Linked DNA regions of Mus musculus. The main gene of each other region encodes a partner of the protein of the gene in region 4 in a complex. Links are inferred from orthologs where the notes say so. Each region holds a gene or a part of one and is shown on either strand. Other genes may lie near its edges.

Region 1 (6,051 bases), on a different chromosome or scaffold from region 4:
AAGGCTGCAGACTAGGAGTGTACAGGAGGGCTGGCCGGCCGGCTTCCGGGTTCAGGGAAAGGTGCCTGATGGTCTGTGTGTCCCCAGGGTAGAAGGGGTGTGTCTCTTGGGACTTCTTTTGCAGGGGCATGAAGTCTCAGAAGTGTTCTGCTTTCCTGATCCGACCAGCCCCTCCTGTGCCATCATCCTGGGGGTGGCGGTTTCAACAAACGAACTTGGCAGTGACAGGAACAGCTAAACCACAGGGATCCCAGGGAAACAGGTGTGCACGGAGGTGGCTGTGGCCTGGCTCTCAAGAGCGGGCATGGCTCTCGGGGCTCTCGGGGCTCTGCTTTAGCTTCCCCCTGAGACATTGTTGCAAGTTTCTAAGCTTCTCTGCACCTCATGCTTTTCTAACCGAAAGAGAGACTTAAAAATAGTACCTCCCGCACTAACCTGTAGGATTGCACCCTGCACACGGGTGGGGTGGGTTAGGTAATCCGGACCGTGGCCTCTGCCCTTCGTTTTCTTGCTCTTTCCTGATTTCCTGCTCTTCTTAGCGCCGGCCCACCTTAGGGGCTTCTCACTGCCTCTCCCCACCCCCTCATGCCCCACAGTTCAGCCTTGTTTGGCCAAGTCACCCTCTCAGAGTCCCTAAGCCACCTACCTGCCTAGAATGGCTGTCCCCTTTTCTGTGGTCACATTCCTCCACTCCCTCCTGTTTGCTCTTTCTTTCTTCTGTCACCTTCTGCCTTCCCTATCAGACAGACTGCAAACTCCTTCCGGCCTATTCTCTGGTGAAGGCATTTGGTAAACACTGGGGGCGGCCTGGGGAGGAGGCCCGGAGTAGCAAGGGCTGATCAACAGTAGCCCCGTGGTTGTCATCACTGTTATTGATCAGGCTGCCCCTCAAGACTTCCTTACTTCGAATCTAATCACACCTACCACACCTCATGGCTCACTTACAGTAAGGAACCATAATAACATCTTTAGCTATATCTTTTTCTGCTTAGGTTGAACCACATGAATTCATTACTACTGCTATTATTATTATTTTAAAGGTTTGCTATAAGCCTTTCTGGAGTGGTTTAGGCTAATGCATAAGCAGCAGAAGGAATCCAGAGAGAGAGAGAGAGAGAGAGAGATCTTGGCCCTTTGGATGGAGTGGGAGTGCCAAGTGCCTCCTCACTGCCCTGAGGAAGAGCACACACACACACACACACACACACACACACACACACACACACACACACACACACACACACACACACACGACACTCCCCTCCCCTGCCCTCTGCATCAAAATGAAAACTGCAGCATCACCTGGGGTCTTCTCTTGCCTGGCAGAGAAGAGGGAACGCTCTCCAAGGTCTGATCCAGGGCTATTTGAAAAGAGCAAAAGCTTCAAGCAGGGTCTCTTGGGGGGATCTGGCCGCCCTCCCCAAGGGAATGCACTTATCTCTGGGGAAGGGAGGGAGGACAGCAGTTTCTGGATGTCCAGAGCACTCTGCTCCTCCTGTAGAAGGCTCCATTGCTGAGCTGTGCAGACTCAGTCACCATCGAGGCCACGCCCACTTCCCAGATGGAGAAACTGAGGTGGAAACCAGCAGGCCAGAGATCACAGAGGGGACAGGGTTTGTGTCTGCCACCCTGTCTCACGGTCTTTCCTCCAGACCACTTGGGCCATGTATGTGTGTGTGTGTGTGTGTGTGTGTGTGTGTGTATGTATTATCTTGCCGTTGCCTCTTAGCCTTTTTTTCAGTGTCCCAGAAGTCTCAGAATGTTTCTTCACTGTCAGGACACTCCAGGATAGCAGTAATACACCCGTGTCTCTCTAGTGACCTCCTCAGGGGTGAAGTCCCCGAAGGAGAGGCCTGGGAGCAAAGGGCAGGTAGATCCATTTCACAGACTTTTGTTTCTATGGTTACTCTACAAAATGACACACCTCAGGCAAAAGCTTGCAACCTTGCCAGCACGTTTTTTTTTTTTTTTTTTTTTTTTTTTTTTTGGTTTGTCGAGACAGGGTTTCTCTGTATAGCCCTGGCTGTCCTGGAACTCACTTTGTAGACCAGGCTGGCCTCGAACTCAGAAATCCGCCAGCTTCTGCCTCCCGAGTGCTGGGATTAAAGGCGTGCACCACCACCACCCGGCTACCAGCACGGTTTTTTTAACCTTCTATGTTTATATCCTGTTGCTTTTACGAAGCAATGAGACTGTTTCATTTATGATATGTTTTATGTCCCCACCCCCACCCCTTGGGTCTCATGTACCCCAGGCTATCCTTGATCTCCATTTGTAGCAGAGGATAGCCTGGCTTTGGTGGATGAATTCCCCATCCTCCAAGTGAATCTCCAAGTTCGGTCGATTCGGTTTTGGGGATGGAACTCTGCCGACTGAGCTGCACCCTAGCTGCTAAGCACCCCATTCTTGGAATTAGGATTCCTGGCTGGTTTGTTGTGTGGCCTTTACCAGGCACACCCCCTCCTGGGACAGGTGATTATATGCCCATAGAATACGAGCGTTGGATGAGATAGACGGTTTCTAGACTGCCCCTAGAATAAGGGCCTGGGATGAGATGGTTTCTAGAGACCCTTTCAGGTCAGAGAATCCACAACTCCACAGTACATTTTTAAAGTTCGGGATGACTTTGTAATAATCAGGACCTGCCTGCTCATGCGCCATCACTGTAGCCTCCCAGATCACAAACGTTCCCAATGACAGGGGACTCAGGTGGTACTTAGGCTTTCGAGCTGGCGCTGGGCTCTGGCAGCCACACTTATACTTAGTCTCCCTTTATGAGGGGATAATAACACTCATTTGCAGCGAAGCTCCAGGTTGGGGCCACAGGGCAAGGTCCCCTGCCACACTGCTTTGGCCCTGGCAACGCACAGCACCCTATGATGCCCACCCAGCCCTCTGCCTGTACACTTAGATGACGTAGGGCTCACTACCGGCGCTGGCCTGGGGAAAGGGAAGGGTCTCCTCTTTTAGCCTTAAGAAAGTCCTTGGGTGAGGGAGAGGGAGACAGGCGATCAGGAGGTGCTGAGCCTGTTCCTTAGTGGGGACAGATGTCAGGAAATGAGGCAGAAGTGTCCAGAGATGGGCTTAAGCCTTTCTCTCCCTCCACATCCCTCAAGAGATGTCTGGAGGCGAGGGACGTGTAAGGACACATTCCTGTGCTGAGGCACAGGTGGTTATGAACAAGTCCCTGGAGCATTCGCAGAAGAGCAGGCTCTGAGACAGAAGGGCCACATGCTAGCTAAGGGACACTATCAGGATTGCAGCCACAGTGGGACCAGATTCCCCAGTTTCGCTAGTGAGAGTCCCCATCTCGAGAAGAATGCAACATAAGACCTTCATCAAAAGGCATCTTATAGAACTTCCCAGCCCTACACCAGAGGTCTTTAAAGATCCTGGAGTCACTGCACCCCTAGATACATGCTCAGTCCCCCAACCCCCGGAGACACTGTTTTCCTGGCAAGTGGACTGAGGACCGAGTGTGGTAGTACCAACCCTGTCCCACCAGGCTGGTACGCAGAACTGGGCTCCGGCAGCTGGCCAGGGCGCGGACCAGGACGTCCTTCTCCATTGCCCGAATGCAGGTGGGTGTTTGCTCGGCTCGGGTCCAGGCAGGTCTGAGGCTGAGATCTGGCCATTGCCAGCGCGGGGCTCCTCCTCCAGCTCCAGGCGATGAGCCTGGTCTGGGTAGCAGACTGCTCGCCCCACCCGCGCGCCCAGGTCGCCTCGGCAGGGACTCAGGGATGCTTCCTCCTCCACCGTTTCCCGGGACTGGAAGCTGAGGCCCCCGCGGGTAACCCAGCCAGGACAGGAACAATCACGACTCGGGTCCACGGGGCACCTGGGCCACACCGGGGCCTGTCGAGACTGGCTGCCGCGCCCAGGGCGGGCCGCTCACCGCCGCAAGAGGCGCGGGCGGTAAGGACTGGCCCCTAACCTCTGGAGCGCGAACCTGGGGGTCGCTGCTCCTAGTCACCCACTGAGGGAGCGGCCGCACCAGTATCCCGATGGGGAAACTGAGGACTGGAGCGGGGCAGAGCTTTGTGTGAGATCGTGCGGGGGTCTGGAGGATAGGTCTCCGCGACGCCGGGGACAGCATCCCTCCCGCCACAGAGCCGCAGCCCGGGCGCAGCGAGCGTCCCGCCCGGCCCGGTCCCACCCTACCTTGTTGGCTGCCGCGCAGGTGGCGGCGGCGGCGGCTCCGGCTCCCGCTCCGCGCTTCGCGCCGCCCGCCGAGTCCCCGCGCCCAGTGCCGCCGCCTCCCCGCGCAGCCCGGCGGGCGGGACCGGGCCGGGCGGGGTCGGGGCGGGGCGGGACGGAGAGGCCCCGCCTGTGCGCCGCCCGTCGCCCGCAGCTCGGTTCCCGTCCCGCGTGCACACACTCTCGCCTCCGACACGCTCTCGCCGCAGGCTTTGGGTGGGACTCGGGTCCCGAACCTCAGTTTCCCCTTGCTGAGATGGAGACTGTCATCGCGCCTGCCTCCCAGATGGCTCGAAGCTGGATCCCGCAGCGAGCGCCGGGACCGCAGCTCTGCAGGCGGCGGGAGAACTGGAGAGCGGAGGGCGGCTGCGCATCCGGGAGATCCTTCCCACTGCTGCCATTAGGGGGCGCTGCGTCCAAGCCGCTCCCTCTTTCAGCCGGGTGCTCACTGAATATGGAAGATAGGACGTCATATCTTTCATAATAACCACGCCACACCACCTGTCTTGGAAAGTGTTCTTCGTGTCTTGTAGTGATGTGTTTGGTGGGGGGCGGGGGGGAGGAGGGAGACTAGCACTGTACCTGGCACAAAGTAGGTATTGTATATATTGTTAACTAAGAACACAATTTATTACATTTGATCTACCAACGCCTTCAATGTAGTCATAATACTCCCATTTCATAGACAAGAAGTTGAGACTTTAGCTGAGTTCTTGGTAGGCTCTATAACAAATTTAATGTGTGTGTGTGTATGATTTGTGATGGTGGGATTGAACATTAGGACCGTGCATATGCTTGCCAGGCAAGTATTCTACCTTTGAGCTACACTGTGAGACCTCTCCTCTTTTTCTGAAACAAGAGTTCACTAAATTGCTTAGGTTGGCTTTGAACTAGCCATCTTCCTCCCTCAGCCTCTAGGAGCTGGGATTGTAGGACTACACCACCACACTCAGCTCTGGTGAGTCCTTGATCACTTTAGAACAGCAGTCGCTAAAGCCTTCCTCTAGTTCCTGCTGAACCACAGGGCCCTGGGCCGGTTTTCTTCCTAGAGCTGTGGGTTTCCCACGTCTGAATTCCCCCTGCATCCCGCTTGGAGCTGCACTGGCAGAAGCACACAGCGCACAACCGCAGCAGTTGGACCTTTGCCCTCAAGGGTCCATGGTAATCTAAAACATTTTTGTCACTTTTTAACGAGTGTGTGTGTGTGTGTGTGTGTGTGTGTGTGTGTGTGCAAACTTTCAGAAGTTAGTTCTTTCCTTTCATCTTATTTCTGCAATGCTACATATTCCTGGCTGACTGTCCCTGAGCTATCGGGCAATATATCAGATGCCTCCCATCTCCAAGTAGGAGGGCTGCATTCAGCTTTTTACATGGTTCCTGGGGACAGGTCTCAGGCTGCCTGGCTCCTGAGACAGCACTATCACCCTCTTAGGCATTTTACCAGCCCATTTATTAATTTTTTTAAGGAGGGTCCCACATAGCCCAGGTCGGTCTTAGACTGTCTATGAACTAAGAAGAACCCATGAACTCATTCTCCTGTCTACCTCCTAAAGGCTGGGGCCACCATGCCAGGCCCACCACAGTGTTTCTGACTTGGCTTTACCCTGGAGCAGGCTGACTCATCTGGATGCCCCAACACAGTAAAGGCGGAGGCTAGGGTCTGGTGGTCCTCTCTCTCTCAGCATCATTCCCAAGCTCCCGCTCGCATCATCTCCTTTGGAAGGTCTCTTTCAAAATCATCTTAAAAGAAACTCTTTTTTCATGGTGCCAGGCCAGTTGTCTGTTGGGACAGGCTTGTTTGACAGGATTATCTGGGGGACTGTGGGCACGTGGACCCGTAAATCAGAGGGGAGA
Region 2 (5,564 bases), on a different chromosome or scaffold from region 4:
CACTTTTTGCCCTGCAGCCCAGTGTTTCCAGGACTTTTCGAGTTCTGCTCCCGTTACACAGGCGCATCTCTGCAAGGAGCAACACAGCTAAACAACAAGGTGATGTAACCCTGAGTCTTGGTCCTTTTTCCTGTGGGTTTCCAGATTCAGGACCATAGAGCCTTGATCTGGAACCCAGCTTCAGTGGTGGGCAAGAAAAAGACTGAATGGGTGTTTATCTTTCAGATCTGTGATATTGCCATCAACTGGGCCGGTGGTCTACATCATGCCAAGAAATTTGAGGTAAGGTTGCAATGGGGAAAACTGTGGCTACCCTAGGTGAGGTCGGCTGAATGACAGTGCTGGGGTAGCTGGATAGAAGAATTGTTCCTCTGTTTATAGAACCATCTCCCCACAGGCCTCTGGCTTCTGCTATGTCAATGACATAGTAATTGGTATCCTGGAGCTGCTTAAGTAAGTATCGCCAGAGGAGATGAGAGACTTTGGGATGCAGGTCCTCAGGCCGTGGCCCAGCCCTGACCTCCTTCCCCACTGGCTTCTCCTAAGTTCTTGATGCTTCTTCCTGCTTGGCCCTGCTGCCTGCTCACATTTCAGCCCCGCTGCATGTTCCCTTTCTCCCCAGGCTCTAGCCTGGAGGAAGCTGGTGGGATGAGGTTTCAAGTGACTTGGCCAGAGGCAGACTCTAAATAATTCCAGAGATTGTGTTGGGGAGGAGAGGACTGGGTGATAAGCCTCTTCCTCAGAACATGGCTCTGTCCTCACACCAGGTACCACCCTCGGGTGCTCTACATTGATATCGACATCCACCATGGTGACGGGGTTCAGGAAGCCTTCTACCTCACTGACCGGGTCATGACTGTGTCCTTCCACAAATACGGAAATTACTTCTTTCCTGGAACAGGTAGGGAATAGAATTACTGTGGTTTTTTGTTTTTTGTTTTTTTTTTGTACCCCTTAGCTCTTTGTGTGTGTGTGTGTGTGTGTGTGTGTGTGTGTGTGTGTGTGTGTGTGTCTGTACAGAATCCTCCATAATCAGCATGCTGAATTAGGGAGACCAGGGATGTGCCATTGCCCCTGGCTGTCCTTCAGCTCTCTGCCATGACTGACTCCTTAGCCTTCTGGTCTTAAGTATTATGTCCTTTCTGCAGAGAAACCTTTCTGACCACTCCATTAAGTCAAACAGGTACCTCACCTTCTCTTTTTCTTAGAGTCCTCACTGCTAGTTGTATTTATTCTAGTTTTTATGTTCATTCTTTGTCTATTGCTACAGACCAGGCTGGCTTCTGCCTCTTGAGTGCTGGGATTAAAGGCATGAGCCACCATGCCCGGCTAAGTAAAATTTTTTGAACCAGACAAGGAGGTACATACCTATAATACCAATAATCAGATGGCCGAGACAGGCGAATTAAGAGTTCAAAGCTAACCTGGGTAATGCAACAAGTTCCTGGCCATCCTGAGTTACATAGCTGTGACCCTGTATTGAGTGAATGCAGGTTGCTGGAGCCTTGGTGGTAGAAGGCACAGAGGAACGGCTGTGTTGAGGGAACTTCCTGTGCACGGTCACTGCGCTCTCTTTTCTGTAGGTGACATGTATGAAGTTGGAGCAGAGAGTGGCCGCTACTATTGTCTCAATGTGCCCTTACGAGATGGCATTGATGACCAGAGTAAGTTCTGATGACTTCTCTCTGCTCACTCGTCTCCCCTTTTCTTCTCTTTCAATTAACCTCTTCTGCCTGGTATTGTCTATTGTTGGGCCAGGTTTCCTTAAGGACGAATGGCCTTCAGAGGGACCATGAACCCTTGGAATTTGTATGACATATATTATGTGTGTATACGTTTTGTTCATTTATTCTTCTGGGAGGAAGGTTGCTAGTGTTTAACTTGGCAGTTGTAACACCCTCCAGAAGTTCAGAACCAGTGGTTGGTTCTGTGGGTCGCCCCTTTCCTGGGCTACATGCTCTCTCAACCCCCTTTTTCCTTTTGTTCCCTGTCTCCCCATCCCCTTGGGGTGCCAGGTTGCCCACCTTTGGCCCTCTCCCAGGTTACAAGCACCTTTTCCAGCCAGTCATCAGCCAGGTGGTGGACTTCTACCAGCCGACGTGCATCGTGCTCCAGGTAACTCCCTTAGCACCTCCCTAAGAGGACTTGCCTGGGCTACAGGAAGGAGATCAGGAAGCGTAAGCTCCCTAAGTTGGTGAGGAAGGACGCTAGAGGACACTGATGTTCTGAGCATTCGTGCTACTGTAGCCATTTGGGATTTTCCTTTTTGCAGTGTGGCGCTGACTCCCTGGGCTGTGATCGATTAGGCTGCTTCAATCTCAGCATTCGAGGACATGGGTGCGTTGCCTTCCTTCTTGTTGTTATTTAAAGTTGTAATTTGTTGTTGTTATTATTATTAATTATTGCATATATATGTGTATATGATACACATACATACAATCAAAAATCTAATGAGGGAAAAAATAAGACAGGGTAACAACAGGGAATCTACTTTTTAATGGTACAGTTTTATTTAAGGGCTCACTGTGTGGCATAGGCTGGCTTTGAACTTGTGACCCTCCTGCTTGAGCCTCTGAAATTCTGGGATTACAAGCTCAGGTCACCACACCTGGCTTGGGAATGTATAGTAGACAGCATGCTTTGGGAAAGGTTTTCTGAGAAGGTGAAATGGGAGACCTGGAGACTAAGGAGTGAGCCGTAAAAGGAGAACAGAGAATCCTACTCCAAGCAGTGTGAAGGGCCAGTGCAAAGCCCTAAGACCGAAGTAAAAAAGAATTACTGTCTTGACAAGAGACAGTACAGCCTATGAGGCCAGAACATAGGCAGGTGCTATAAGCTGGCCAGGCTGAGAGTGTGCAGAGCTATTAGACCCTGTCTTCCATGGGTGATAGAAAACCGTTGAAGGATCTTAAACAGGGAAGTGACAGGGTCCAATGAGTTTGAGAGTTACTGTTCTGACTGCTAAATGAAGAAAGGGTTGGTGTGGGAGTTGGGGTCAGGGTGGGTAGTGGGCAGCCAGTTAGGAAGCCAATCACATTATTTGGGCAGGGCATGTGTTGATGGAGAGAAGTACGAGGTATGAAGGTATGTCCTGAAGCTTAGAACAGACATTCTGGTGGCGACACCGATGGGAGTAGTTGGGTAGCAGGCCAGGTGTGGCGGAGAGTAGTAAGCAAGGCCGTGAGGGTGTGCTTTATTTTAAAATGTTCACTGAGACACAACACAGTAAAGTACGCTAGTATTTTTATTTGTTCATTTGTGTGTTTGTGTGTGTGTGTGTGTGTGTGTGTGTGTGTGTGTGTGTGTGTGTGTGTGTAGCATATAGCTCAGAGCCAGGTGGGGACAGGGTGACTAGCACACTCAGTAAAAGTGCTTGCTATACAGAATGAAGACTTGAGTTTGATCCCAGAACTCATGTAAAAACACTAGGCCCGGTGGCACCCATTTATGATCTGTAATCCCAGCCCTGGTGAAGCAGAGACCAGAAGATTCATAGGGCTTGGTAGCCAGCCAGCTTAGCCTACTTGGCAAGTGCCAGGTTAAAAAAAAAAAGGTGGCTAGTATCTTTAGGCCAACACATGAAAATGTCTTCTAGCCCTTGTATACATGTGTGAACATACATGCACACATCCTCAGACACACATGCACTGGCACACATGTGAAGACAAACCCGTTTATACAAGTAGTCACACACAAAGAATGCAACTTTGAGTTATACTACACAATATGACAGAGAAATATTGTTGGTCAAGTCTTTGTACAATATTTCCAGTCATGTCTGGGGTCACATGTCTTAGATTTACCTAGTCCTCTTGTTTCTAACAGGGAATGTGTTGAATATGTCAAGAGTTTCAATATCCCTCTCCTGGTACTGGGAGGTGGTGGCTACACTGTCCGAAATGTTGCCCGGTGTTGGTGAGTGTTCTGTTCTACTACTCTGTGGTTCACGACAGACTCCCTAAAATTGGAGGGGTGGTCCTTTCAGCCCACGCCATCAACCCAAACCCCTCTGCTTGCTGGTTTCAGGACATATGAAACATCTCTGCTGGTAGAAGAGGCCATTAGTGAGGAACTTCCCTATAGTGGTAAGATCCACTTCATGATGCCACCACAGGGGGACACCATTCTCACCAGTCCTCAGAATGACCTTGTTTGGAGGGAAATTGCACCTTCTGGTAGCTCTGCAGACTAAATCCCTGTGCTCAGAGCAGAGCAAATACTCTTACACATGGGGACCAGGCCTCGGAGAGGAGATCAGAAAGCCATGGGATTCACTCTGGTGTCTCAGCCATACTCTTGTTCATCCCCTCTCCCAATTGCTTCTCATCTCTAAGAATACTTCGAGTACTTTGCCCCAGATTTCACACTCCATCCAGATGTCAGCACCCGCATCGAGAATCAGAACTCACGCCAGGTTAGCAGCTTGGAGAGGCTGGACACAGCAATGGGGGGGGGGGTTCAGGAGAGGTCCAGGAGGGGGGAAGTGGAGAGAGCAAGAGAAAGAATTTCTGGGCTGTCACTGTCGATCTTATCGTGGGGTTGTTGGGGAGGGACAGTTGCCAACTGAGGATCTGACCTTGAAATACTACCTTAGATCAGGACGGTCAGGGACGAAGGTGGGTAGGATTTCCTGTACTATAGGAATCACCCCAACACCGCTGACTTTCTTTCTTCTAAACTAGTATCTGGACCAGATCCGCCAGACAATCTTTGAAAACTTGAAGATGCTGAACCATGCACCCAGTGTCCAGATTCATGATGTCCCGGCAGACCTCCTGACGTATGACAGGACTGACGAGGCCGACGCTGAAGAGAGAGGTCCCGAGGAGAACTACAGCAGGTCTGGGGCAGGGGCTGGAGGGCAGGTGCTTCCTTAGGCTTGCAGAGAAGGCTTCCAAGTGAGAAGGCACAAGTTCATCTGGCCCTGGCTGGTTTCCTTTAGACTGCGAGCCTTCTACTCTTTTTGACACTTTTAAGAACAAAACAACAATAATATGAAAATATTATAAACATCAAAATATGTTGTGTTCACGTAGTTCCAGAATTATTCCATGGAAGTAGCTGTTATTTATGGCTTGATTTATGTATTATTTGAATAGATAATTTTCTATAGATTATAAGAATACTACATGCACATGTGCATATCCAGAATTTTATTTATACAGCTTTTTTTTTTCTTGATTTGTTGCTGGTTTTTTTTTGGGGGGGGGGGTGACACATGGTTTCCTCTGTGTGGACCAAGCTGGTCTTTAAATCAGATACCCTCCTGCCTCGGGTTTCTAAATGCTGGGATTATAGGCATGGACTGCTTGCTCTACCCAGCTTGTTTATACATTTTTTTGTTAATCCGTGGGAGGATATTTTCTATATGTTGTTTGGAGTTACACTTGCCTGTGTCAGTGTGTGTAGATCAGTGTTTTCTCAGTTGTATAATTCCATTGTGTGGTGGTCACATGATTGCGAGGGTAATCAGTTACCACTTGTGGATATTTACCCCACTGCACCGTCCCCTCCCTTTCTTTTGTGGCTACAAAAATAGTGAAGACTGGCACTGAATCCCTCTA
Region 3 (6,325 bases), on a different chromosome or scaffold from region 4:
TACGAGAGGACCTTCGTCTGCCTGAAGGAGACCTTGGCAAGGAGATTGAGCAGAAGTATGACTGTGGAGAAGAGATCCTGGTACGATGCCCCCTCCTTGCTTTGTATGCTGCTTTGATCCTTAATTCGAAGTCTTTCAGTTAAGGCATCTCTGGACTGTCATTTTGCTTTTCCAGATCACAGTGCTGTCTGCCATGACAGAGGAGGCAGCTGTTGCAATCAAGGCCATGGCAAAATAACCGGCTTCCAGGTGAGAGAACGCACCCCCCACTGTCCCCACACTTACTGTTGAAGTTACATCCTATATCTTAAACATGATTTCTTTCTCTTGCCCAGGGTGGCGGTGGTGGCAGCAGTGATCCATGAGCCTACAGAGGCCCCTCCCCCAGCCAGGTTCTGCTCTGGCTGGGCCCTTGGCTGGACTCCTATTCAAATTTATTTGACGTTTTATTTTGGTTTTCCTCACCCCCTCAAACTGTCGGGGAGACCCTGCCCTTCACCTAGCTCCCTTGGCCAGGAATGAGGGAGCCATGGCCTTGGTGAAACTCCCTGCCTCTTCTCTCGCAGCCCTGATGGGGGAAAGGGAGTTGGGTACTGCTTGTGGTTTAGGTTCCCCTCTCCTTTTTTTCTTTTTAATTCAATTTGGAATCAGAAAGCTGGATTCTGGTAAATGGTCTTGTGCCCTTTATCCTACTCATCCCCGATCTGGTCCCCTGTTCTCCATAGTCCTTCACCCCCAAGCACCACTGTACAGACTGGGGACCAGCCCCTTCCCTGCCTGTGTCTCTTCCCAAACCCCTGTAGGGGTGGTGAGAAGAGGAGGGGGGGAGGGGACACGATCCCTCCTCAGGCATCTGGGAAGGCCTTGCCCCCACGGGCTTTACCCTTTCCTGTGGGCTCTCTCCCTGACACATTTGTTAAAAATCAAACCTGAATAAAACTACAAGTTTAATATGAAGCCCCCAACTCAGTTGTTTATTTGTTGATTGAAAGGTACTTTTAGAATCTAGAAATGCTGAGACTTCATAGTAGCCTTTGTGGTTTAGGCAGTTGGATAGGAAGCAAATAAACAGCACTCAGGCATGATGGTGGGTACATTTTGTACATTTTATTGGTTTGGGGCACATAAGACCCCAGCCTGAGGGATGGAGGGTGGGCTGGAGCTCTCTGGTGGTTACTTGTGATAGAATCTTGGGTTCTGGCTGTGTTGGATGAAAGGGAGTCGGGGGCCAGGTTGGCTGGTGGTGGCAAAGCCTGACTGGTAATGATAAGAGTTTTATCAGTGGGTAGGTATTCCAGCACTCAGCACAAGGGGGAGGGGACAGTTACAGTAAGAGGTTAGTCTTTCCCTGGTAGTATATGTAGGTTTGATTGCCAGCCTTACCTTCCCTGCTGCTTGTATCTGTACGGGAAGCTGGGGGGAAGCCAGGAGTCCAGGGGCTGGATGCAGAGCTTGGGGGTGCATGGGCCGCAGAGAAGACTAGGAGACAAAGCTGACCTTAAAGGGAGGCATCCTGGGGCTCCCCTCATCTTAGCACCTTGGCCTCCCAGGACTCCATACTCACTGAGTCCGAGAAGCTGGTCTGCTGGTTGGCATGCTCCATCTGTTTCTGCAAAGAGAGGGTACTGCCGGGCTGGAGGAACCCTGAGGGGAGGAGAGTTTGAAATGAGCAGGTGGCAGTAGGACTCCTGAAGGTAGGGCTCCTGCCCAGGGGGATCTCACCTGTCTGAGTGGGCTGAAAGTGGCCATGCACTGCATAGGGTTGTGGCTGTGGCTGAGATAGGTACTGCACTGCAGGAAATGCTGATGGGGCTGAGGAAGGTGGGAGATGATCTGTTAGGGTTTGATGCTCTTGCTCTTCTTGCCCCTAGTCTGAGGAGAACAACACTCACCTCTGAGCTGCTGGCTAGGACTATAGGCTGGTTGTGTTGGCCCATAATGAGGTGGGGGCTGAGCAGTCCCATAAGCACCCCCTGGACTGCCTTGGAATTGTCCATGTTCTGGGGTTCCTGCAAAAGCAGCTGCTGATCCCACGTAGTGCCGGGTCTAAGGGGAAATGAAAGCTCACTGCTTAGGAAAAACCCCATATGTATATATATATGCCTTTACGCTCAGCTCCTACATACACATGCTTGGTATATTTGTTCTTGAATGATTGGGATTAACAGTACTGATCCACAGAAGGAGGAGACATGGAGTTAGGATCAGATTTCAAGACTAGTCTTGGCTAGTAACTTAAAAAGCCAGCCTGAAGAGTTAAAAAAAATCAAAAAACCTTTCCCTCACCGTAAGCACTTGTGGTCCAAACATCTGCTTGGCTCTGTCAGCTGCCATCAGAGTACCTGGGCGATTGTGTCCTCCAGGGCTCCCTAGAAAGGGGGAGAGGTTTCACGATGCTAAAATAGGCAGCGACCTCCTGGAGAACTCCCCTGTTAGGCGGTTTCCTCAGTCCTCTCACCCTGCATGCTGAGGAGGTGGGTTCCTGTATGAACCGTCAGGCTCTGCTGGTATGCAGCTGATGTCAGAGTGGTTAAGTCACTGGAGTGGAAGGAAGACAGGTCAGTTAGCCTCTTGCTATTAGATTGTCACCTGTGCCACTGCACAATTTTACTTTTAGCCATCTCATCACACCTCTGTTCCTTTCGCCTCCGTTTTTCTTCCTCATGCAAAACTTTCTTGAGCTGCAAGAAAAGCTGGTGCTTCTCCTCCTGTAGAGCAGAAAGCTTCTCCTGCAGCTTCAGGATCTGGAAGAGGGACGAGCAGCTAAAGCAGGGAAAAGAAGGCATCGAGAAACAAGTGTGGAGAGGCTACTTACCTGTTCCTTGGTCTCCTCTAGTGACATTCTCTCTTCCATTTCCTTTTTCTTTCTTCTCTCCTGCTCTTCTTTCATCTTCTGTTCCATCATCTTGTCCACCTCTTCCTCCTCTGAAGAATCAGAACGGGGAAGTGGCAAGGCGGTGTGAATAAGCTGAGCGTTAGACTGAAGACCAGCAAAAACCAGTTACTCCATCACAGCCACAGGGAGAACTTGGCTTCATTAGGTGCTCTCCAAGGTCCTTCCCAGCCCAGGGTTCTGGTCTGGAACTTAGACTGGGCCTCTTCACTCACACCCCGAAGGCGCCGCTGCCTCCCTCTTAGCCTCGCCAGCAGGCGCACAGCTGGGCCCGTGGATGGGGGCAAGTTCGTGGGTAGCAGGGCCACCCTGAGCCGAGTGTCTGTCCTCCCGCTCTGGCCCAGGCTCACCCTGCCGTTTGCGCTCCCGCTCCATCATGATGTGCCGGTGCAGAGCCCTGGCCATAGCGTTGGAAAGCTTGGGGCGCTCCAGGAGTGCGGGCATGATGCTGTTGGTGACGCTTGGGCAGTGGGCACCCGACTCTCACTGACTGCCAGACCTCAGGCGGGGCCTGCAGGGAAGTGGGAGCTTAGAGAGACTGCGACGCGCCGAAGCGGAAGCCCGTCCGCCGCCCGCTCGCCACTTCGATCACGTGTCCCGGGCACCAGCGTCCCTCCGGGGTCTCTGCCTCAGCGCCGGGGCGCGTGCGAGGGTCTTAGGCTCCGCGCCCCCGCCCCTCCCTCGTAGCCCTGGCGCCAACCCCCGCAACCCGCCTTGTCGGCGCTTTCTCCGAGGCCTTCGGCGCGCCTTGGCCTCTACGTCATATCCGGCGGCCAGGATAAATCCTTCCGGAGTCACGACGGCAAACGGCACAGCCGATTGGAGGAAAGGGAAGGCGGAAGCGCTTAGAGACGGGTGCCGGGATGTCCAAACTCCATGTGGATTTACAGAGCGGCCTGGGATGATAAAGCCCCTAGAACTCTTCACTCGCGAGGCCGCGGGAGACAGAGGCGGAGGCAGATGCTCTGAAGACAGTATTTATTGGCTCCTTAGAAATCAGAGTCAGTAACAACTGTACAGAGGCCCACAGCGTCCTCGGGCAGCCCTTCCTTTTACCCACTCCCTCCCCATGGCGCCCAGTGGCCACGGAAAAAGCAGCTTCATGTGGGCACAGAGAGACTCCTTTGGGATTCACAGTAACCAGAAACAAAAACGGAAATAAATTAAGTGATATGGGGGAGGGTAATAATAGGGAGTCATGTTCCCCAAGTCAGTGCATGAAGGGGGGACCCCGAGACGAGCTGGGCTCCCTCTCAGCAGAGGGAGTGTGCTGGGCCCTGAATGTAGAGATGTGCTTCACACCTGCTCTAAATCAAAGCCTGCCTACGTGCTCCTCCTTGCCAGGACAGCACTGGACATGCTCTCAGTCACGGGAATGAGGTGGAGGCAGTCGTCATTCAAGAGTCCTGGGCTTGAGGCCCGGCTGTGCTTGGAGTAGTGGTATGTCACCCCTTATTCCACTCGTACCAGCAGGGCATAGAGGAGTGTGGCTCCCTTCTCCTTAGTGACCCACTCAAGTTCCGATGGGCTGAAGTGCTGGTCAGGAAGTTCTCTGAGGGCCGCAGAGGGAGGGCCAGGAGTATAGGAGCCAGGGCGCACACACACCTGAAAGGCCACCTGAGCCTGGTGTGTCCGCTGGGATTTTGGGTCCCGGAATCTGTTAGCCAAGCAGAAACGAGAGAAGAGTAAGGCTCCCAAGGTCCATGACTGCTAATTCTGCCCCCTCCACCCAGGCCTTGCTGTTTTCTGGGAAATACTGTTCACCGTGACTGGCTTAGCACCAACTATTGTGTATGTAGTACTCTCCTCCCCTGGCCTGCTCAGCTAACTCCTCCCCAGCACTCTTCATGTGTTTATTTACCCTGGCACTCTAGTTCACGTCTTCCAAACACTCCAAGTGCACTTCTCATCTACTTCACCCACTTTTGGGAGACAGTATAGGGTCTCTACCAGGCTGGAGTCAACCTCCCTATAAAGGAAGGACAACCTTAAACTTCCGACCCACTGACCCTGCCACTTAGTGTTAGGACTCCAGGAATTTGTTACAATGCGCAAGCACAGTTTAGGTAGTACAAGGGGTCAAACCCATTGCCTGGTGCAGGATATTTTGAAAGACTTGGTATCCATACACATTCAGAAAAACAGGCCTACAGATGCACTCATCTAATCCACACTCAGCATGGAGATGGAACCAGGAACTGAGTGTTCAAGGCCGGCTTCAGATACAAACCAAACATGAATGTGAGGCCAGCTTGGACTACTTGACATCCTGTTTTAAGAAAAACAAAAACAAAAACAAAAACAAAAAAACCAAAAGGGGCTGGAGAGATGGCTGTTCTTCAAGAGGTCCTGAGTTCAATTCCCAGCACCGCTTACAACCATCTATAATGGAATCTGATTCCCTGTGGCCCATGTGTTTAATCCCAGCACTGGAATTAGAATTTCTAGGTTCAAGGCCAACTTGGTCTACAGAATGAGTTCTAGGACAGCCAGGGATACATAGAGAAACCGTGCCTCTGTGTGTGTGTGCGTGCATATGTGTGTGTGTGCGCGCGCATGCGTGTGTATTACGGGAGGGAAGGAGGAACAGTGACAGGTAAAGGTGCATCCAGGAACAAGCAGGGCAGGAAGGGTGCGGTGGGTGACTGAGCACAGCCCTGAGCCCCTAGTGCTCCCGGCATGTACTCACTGCACTTTGGAGGCCAGCATCTCTGCCCCGGCATACTGAAGGGAGGGGGAGAGCAGCACTGGAGGGGGCTGCTCTTCCCGGGGAGGTGCACAGTTCTCACCAGGCTCCTCAAATCCCACCCCAGGCTCTCCCTTCAAAGGTCGGCAGCTCAGGATGGAGGTAGTACCTGTGAAGAGACCTGGGTGAGGGCAGCCCCATGATTCCTCCCAAGATCCCTCAGCACAGCCCACTCCATGATACCTGCTCCCAACTCCCCTCGGTCCAGCACTCTCCGCACAACAGCTACACTGCTTCCATGATATGCCATGTGCCACTTCTTTGTTAGTGTGCCAGCTTCCAGATGGGGATTCACCCTAAAAGGACAGATAAGACCACCGAGTCAAAGGTCACTGGTTCCTCAAGGTCACCCCCACACAAGGAATGCTGTCATCTTGCCCCTCTTGGGACTCTTCCTTTCTCAGGGAAAACTGCCCAGAGGAAAATACATGCCTGAGGCCTGTATGTACCTAAGGTTGAACCTGCACCATCCGAAAGGCAGGGCGTACTCCCGGGGAGGCTCTCCTCGGCGCCTGTGGGCCTCATCTCCTCGCAACTTCCGGCAAGATTCACAGTAGCATAAGCTACGCTTCGGTGGAGGCATGAAATAATCTTCTATGGGACAATGATTGACAAGCTGGTGAGCTGGCCCTGGGTCTCAGCCACACTACTGCCCTCCAGCCAGGGTCCAGAGCCATGGGAGTGAG
Region 4 (5,564 bases):
GATGCCTTTTTTTTAAAGAATACTATATTTCACCAATAACAAAATAAATCAAACCACTTATTTTCGACATGTATAAACTCCTGTGGTTATAAAGCAGAAATGATTGGTGCACATCACAATCTTCAAAGGACATGTAGTATATATCGTACTATTCTGTGTATGCACTGGCTATTATGGGAAGTGCTGACAGCTCTTCGACTGAATCAGCAGATAGGAAGTTAAACATTTTACTTGTGTCAATAAAAACAATTAAGCTGAAATCCTTTTGAGAACCAGAAGAAAGATATCTACAAGAAACATGGCAAAATGTCCTTATAAAGTAAATCTGAGACTTATGTTAACCCTATTATTTGTATTTACATTTAGCCTTAGATACACATCACTGTGTTCAGCTTTTAAAAGTTGAACTGGGTACATCAGTGCTCTCTTAGGAAAGGTGAGAAATGGTGGTTTTAAACATGTATTTCATAAGTACAGAATTTGCCTGGCATATACTCATAAAGAAAAAAAATGAAAGAAGAGAGGTAACATACTATCTATGAAGACACTATGGGAAAATTTTTGTTTTAAATCAGGAATAGACCTCTGATCTCAGCACTTGGGGGTGGGGTCAGAAGGATCTCAAACTATTAACAATCTAACTGAAAAAGGAAAGGACATGATCTGCGCGGGCCTCAAGTTCACAGGAGGAGGCTGCAGGAGCTGATGATTACGTGACGTGAAATCCCAGGCACAGCAAGCACTGAGCAGAGGAGAGACAGAAAATGGAAATGGGAGACGATCAGTGCCTATCACTTCAGTCAATAAAGTCAGAATACATCTTTTAAAAAACCCCCACCACAAAGGTAGCTAATCCAGTCAATTTGTTCACCCAAAGTGAACCAAAGAAGCAAATGACAGATATGGCCAACAAGTGTTTTTCTATGTTTTCAAAACCCCTGGCCATCAGAGAAAGGTGAACTGAAACTACTTTGAGCTTCTAATTACCCCAGACAGAATGGCTGTCAGGAAAAAAGTGCTAACATGCTGGAAGGAGTGCAAACTAGTACAACACTGCAGAATTCACTATGGAGGGTCCTAGAGTAAGTGACAGAAACAGAGGAGCTGTGCCCCAAGCACACAGATGAAATGAAGGACCCAGTCAATACACCACAGAAACATGTACACAGCTGTACTATTCAAGATGAGAATCAACACATGAATAACGAGAGCAGAAGAAACATGCATACACAATGGAATGTTATGTAACCTTAGAGGAAAAATAACCATAATATTTTACAGGAAAATCGGTAGAACTGGGAAGTATTATTAAGCAAAATATGCCAGACTCAAATGACAAATACGTTTCCTCTCATGAATATACTGCATTAGTTAGCGTTTATTAATGTAGGTTGGAGTGCATGTCATGAAGCTAGAGACGGGTTTATGAGAGGGCTTAGAGTGGTCTTAATGAGGAGAGAGGACAGCATGAGGCTGGAACAGCAGCTGGGGGAAGGGAAGGGAAGGGAGGGCAGAGTCACCGAGAGGCGCAGGAAACAGGCTTAATAAAAAAATCAAAGCAGCCGGGTTTGGTGGCGCCCGCCTTTAATCCCAGCACCTTTAATGAGGCAGAGGCAGGCAGACTTCAGAGTTCAAGACCAGTCTGGTCTACAAAGTGAGTTCCAGAACAGCCAAGGCTACGCAGAGAAACCCTGTCTCAACCCCCTCCCCCCCCCAAAAAAAAATCAAAGCACAAAGTGCCATAATGGTGTTCTTTAGTTTAAATGCTAGTTTTTTAAAGTAAAATTCAAGAGAATTTTCAAAACTACTTACTGAAGAAGTCAGCCTACTTACTGAAGTACATAAGGATACTCAGCTTCATTTCACATAATAATGTAAGCTTGAACCCTCCCTGAACTGGACTCCTGCTGAGTATGAGCCAGAAGCATGGTGCTTTGTGCAGTAAAGATGCAAGAGAGCTAAGAAGAAAAGTCATTGTTGGCCATGAAGGCAAAGATGGCCAAAAGCTCCTCACTATGGCCCTTCCTGAGCCATCAGATATAGAATTTAATGAAAGATACTCAAATATAAATGGTTTAGAGCAAGTAACGCATCAAATAAAATATAGTGGGAATCTAGTACAGATCAGGAAATGGCAGCCTGTAATGTATTAGTATGCACTACACCAACGCAGACCTGGGGAACATAGGGCAGTTCATAGGGCACAAAAGCTATAAAGAAAAGTGAAAGCAAAAGCAACAAACTGGCTTCTATTTGGGGGTAGCTCCTTGCCATCCCTGAAAAGGCAGCCAACCAAGTGTGAAGTCACTAAAGAGATCTTGTCCTTTAACCTCAAGAAAGGTTAAGTTCACCGTAAGCTTCATTTCAAATATACTATGCTGCTCAAGTAAAAAAAGACATCTATTTCTAAATTGACTTTGCACATAAAATGCAACTTTCAGTCAGTGTTGATTCAGCTATAAAATGCCCCAAAGTGTTCTTAGATTCTTAAAACTAAGCATCACATTGATATCACATAAAGAAAAACAAAAATATAAGTAAATCGGTAAATGCTTCTTTAGTAAGTGCAGCTTAAATTAATGGGACGTACCTGTGTGTTCCAGATGTGCACACACTTGTCAAAAGAACCACTTGCCAGATACCTGCCATCAGGACTAAAAGCCACACTGTACACGGGCTCTTGATGTTTTGTCAAAGTATGGATGCAAATCCCTCTGTCTACGTCCCATAACCTAACTGTAGAATCAAAGGATGCACTAAAAAATGGAAAAGGAAAATAATTTTATAAGCAATCAAATACTCTCTTGGCCTTGCCCCTAGCCTCCCACATTCTGCCCATCCTAAGAGGCTAGCAAACTAAACGGCTAAAATTCAAATAGTGTGGAAACTGGGAGGGAAACATGAAAAGGACGGAAGGCCCTGACCCCTGCCCACTCAGGTAACTCCCAACAATCCTGATTATTGGTCCTTGGTTCTGAATCTCTCTCTTTTTTTTTAAAAAAAAAAAAAAAAAGGTTGCTGATGGACTTTTATTATCCTATGCCCAAATGATCTGCTGTTAACTGAAATAGAGTCTCACTATAGAGCCCATGTTGATTTCAGGCACACTGACTTAAGTGTAGGATTTTAAGTGTGGGTCAATATGCAAAACCTAACTATTGGGTTTTATTCATATTGGATTTTATATCAATAGATACAAAAAAGCATTAAGTCCTGAAATTCTAATATTAAAAACCCATGTTTAAAGTTTCCCACTGAAATATATCCACCTCAAGATATGTTCCCTGTTTTCTGCCATTTTTTCCCAAAAGTTTTATGCATGAGAAACTCAACAGGAAAAGTGAAACAGACACATCACCTTGCTAGCATAAGGTTGGCATTTGGATTATTTGTCCCTGGTCCTGTTGGACTCCACTTAATAGTATAAATTTCTTTATTATGTGCTTGCAAATCATGGACACAGTTATCTTGCTTCATACTCCAGATCTAAATCAAAAGAAAAAATGTGGTAGTTTTCTGTACAACAGATACTTTTAAAAGCCATGATCTTTAAAGTAAACAAAGAAACAAAAAATACCACAGCCAAACATCAAGAGAATAACAACAAAGAAATGTAAGAGTAAAAATAATAATAATAATAATAATAATAATAATAATAAATAAATAAATAAGGAGAAAAAAAAGAAGTGTAAGAGTAGTTGAATAAATGAATATTTGATCCAAATATTCCTGATTGCAAAACTTGAAGGCTGAGTGGACTAACTCATCTCAACATTTACAAAGTCCTTGAACTAGGTAGGTAGGTAGGTAGGGTTCCAATAACTCGGCAAGGGGAGTCCAGAGGGGGGTGGGCAACGAGTGGGGGTAGGAATGTGTGAAGCCCCTTGTTCAGTTCCCAACACACAAATACAAACACCAAAAACAACTGGAAGTCACATTCTTTAAATGCAGTAACAGCTAAGTAACAGTGCCTTATAGCTCAGGTGTTTACAGTCCTAGGAAATGAAGCTGACCCATCCATTTCTAAAACTCTGCTTTTGTTTTCAAGCTTTGGGCACTGGGGAGCTTACCATTGTCACTCCTGCAACCCTTGTCACACTCCTCTTTCCACTTTTCGACTCTTCTTCATCTAGGGGACTCTGTTTCATGAGGTTTATCATCCTATAGCCTGCTGTTCATAACATATCACCATTTCATTTCTGCTTTGAAATCCTCTGTGACCCAAAATTCTTTGTTGGGTGAAAAAAAGCTGCAATCTAGACCCCAAGGTGTCTAGTTCTAGGCTCTTCAGCTTGCAGCTCAATCTACCAAACAAACTTCTCTGAACACTGGCATTCCTTCATTGTATAAGACTTAATGCATGTGGATGAGAAGGAAATACAGAGGAAGAGATACAAGGAAGCCAGTATGGTGGCTTCATCCTATACCCAGGGCTTGAGGATGTGCAGGATCTCAAGTTCAAAGCCAGCCTGGGCTACACGGTGAGATTATGGCACACACACAAATCAAAAACAAAAACATAAACAAAACCAACCACAACAAAAACAAGGCTAAAGATGCAGCTCAGGTTGTCATGCTGCCTTAGCATTCCCAAGTCCTACATTTGATCCTGGAGGTTAAGGGAGGAGAAGGCACACTTAGCCTCTTCCCAGAAAACCAAGTTATTTTCCTGCAGGACTACCCTATTTGTAAGAGCTGTCACTATGGTACTGAAGCTAAGGATAAATGTTTTCAGTAGAGCATGTGTGGCATGAAGAAGTGAAAAGGCTCAGTCACTGCAGAGACTAGCACTAGGCTGGTCTTTACTTCCACATAATGCTTCACTCCTTGTGGGATAAGGTCACATCACACTGTGTTCATGGATGGCTAGTTCCCTATCTCACCTTGACCAACGCATGGGAGACTCAGATATCTTGCCTAAGCATTATTTCCTGTGTCACTCAGTAAGACCAAAGCAGACTGCATTCTCCATGTTGATGGGCAGCATTCATGTAGGCAGCTTCAATACTGAGCTGAAATACAGGTTTTCTGCCTTCAGCCTGGGCCTTAACCAATGGCCCTGGCACTACTTGAGCTTCAAGTTTGGAACCACACGACTACCTATGGCGGTTTGGATCAGAATGGCCCCCATAGACTTATAGATTTAAATGCTTAGTCCTCAGTTGGTGGAACTACTCTGGAATGAGGAGGAGGTATGGCCTTGTTGGATGATGCTTTTACTTCAAAGACTGATACCATTCCCATTGCACTCCCTCTCTCTGCCTTGGGATTGTTGACATAAGCCACTGCCTTGCCTGCCTGCCTGCCTGCCTGCCTGCTGTCATGCTCCTTGCTATGGTCATGGATTCACCATCTGAAACTGTTAGGCCCAATAAACCCTTCTTCTATAGGTTGCCTTCATCATAGTATCTTAGCATAACAAAAGTAAGACACTAGCTTTCCTGGGTTTCCAGTTGGAAGACAACAGAGAATTCACAACCTCTGTGACTGTGTATAGATTTTCAAAAGTCTCCTATAGATTAACCTATGCCTCGACTGCCTCATCACCAGTGAGAGCTGTGATA

What was found.
Region 1: Tbl1xr1 (region 4) and Coro2a share a complex: the UniProt entries of both Homo sapiens proteins name them as parts of the N-Cor repressor complex. The link is inferred for Mus musculus from reciprocal best matches to the Homo sapiens genes TBL1XR1 and CORO2A.
Region 2: Tbl1xr1 (region 4) and Hdac3 share a complex: the UniProt entries of both Homo sapiens proteins name them as parts of the N-Cor repressor complex. The link is inferred for Mus musculus from reciprocal best matches to the Homo sapiens genes TBL1XR1 and HDAC3.
Region 3: Tbl1xr1 (region 4) and Gps2 share a complex: the UniProt entries of both Homo sapiens proteins name them as parts of the N-Cor repressor complex. The link is inferred for Mus musculus from reciprocal best matches to the Homo sapiens genes TBL1XR1 and GPS2.

What each region holds. Positions count from the first base shown.
Region 1 is NC_000070.6:46,597,656-46,603,706, forward strand, and holds the start of Coro2a (coronin-2A), read right to left. Parts: upstream 4,275-6,051; 5' UTR 4,162-4,274; intron 1-4,161.
Region 2 is NC_000084.6:37,940,229-37,945,792, reverse strand, and holds part of Hdac3 (histone deacetylase 3), read left to right. Parts: intron 1-17; coding exon 18-99; intron 100-225; coding exon 226-282; intron 283-397; coding exon 398-453; intron 454-767; coding exon 768-901; intron 902-1,583; coding exon 1,584-1,664; intron 1,665-2,015; exon of another isoform or gene 2,016-2,041; coding exon 2,042-2,115; intron 2,116-2,272; coding exon 2,273-2,337; intron 2,338-3,825; coding exon 3,826-3,915; intron 3,916-4,026; coding exon 4,027-4,085; intron 4,086-4,334; coding exon 4,335-4,414; intron 4,415-4,682; coding exon 4,683-4,840; intron 4,841-5,564. UniProt on the Homo sapiens protein: Histone deacetylase that catalyzes the deacetylation of lysine residues on the N-terminal part of the core histones (H2A, H2B, H3 and H4), and some other non-histone substrates.
Region 3 is NC_000077.6:69,911,352-69,917,676, reverse strand, and holds Gps2 (G protein pathway suppressor 2), read right to left. Parts: upstream 3,658-6,325; 5' UTR 3,338-3,657; coding exon 3,244-3,337; intron 2,926-3,243; coding exon 2,816-2,925; intron 2,745-2,815; coding exon 2,632-2,744; intron 2,539-2,631; coding exon 2,459-2,538; intron 2,370-2,458; coding exon 2,287-2,369; intron 2,047-2,286; coding exon 1,893-2,046; intron 1,813-1,892; coding exon 1,723-1,812; intron 1,645-1,722; coding exon 1,565-1,644; intron 1,480-1,564; coding exon 1,384-1,479; intron 1,258-1,383; coding exon 1,174-1,257; downstream 1-1,173. Other genes in the region: Eif5a (eukaryotic translation initiation factor 5A-1), read left to right, coding at 1-80, 176-238; Neurl4 (neuralized-like protein 4), read right to left, coding at 4,346-4,550, 5,583-5,748, 5,823-5,935, 6,089-6,233. UniProt on the Homo sapiens protein: Key regulator of inflammation, lipid metabolism and mitochondrion homeostasis that acts by inhibiting the activity of the ubiquitin-conjugating enzyme UBE2N/Ubc13, thereby inhibiting 'Lys-63'-linked ubiquitination.
Region 4 is NC_000069.6:22,201,019-22,206,582, reverse strand, and holds part of Tbl1xr1 (F-box-like/WD repeat-containing protein TBL1XR1), read right to left. Parts: intron 3,487-5,564; coding exon 3,359-3,486; intron 2,757-3,358; coding exon 2,591-2,756; intron 743-2,590; coding exon of another isoform or gene 710-742; exon of another isoform or gene 1-709. UniProt on the Homo sapiens protein: F-box-like protein involved in the recruitment of the ubiquitin/19S proteasome complex to nuclear receptor-regulated transcription units. Plays an essential role in transcription activation mediated by nuclear receptors.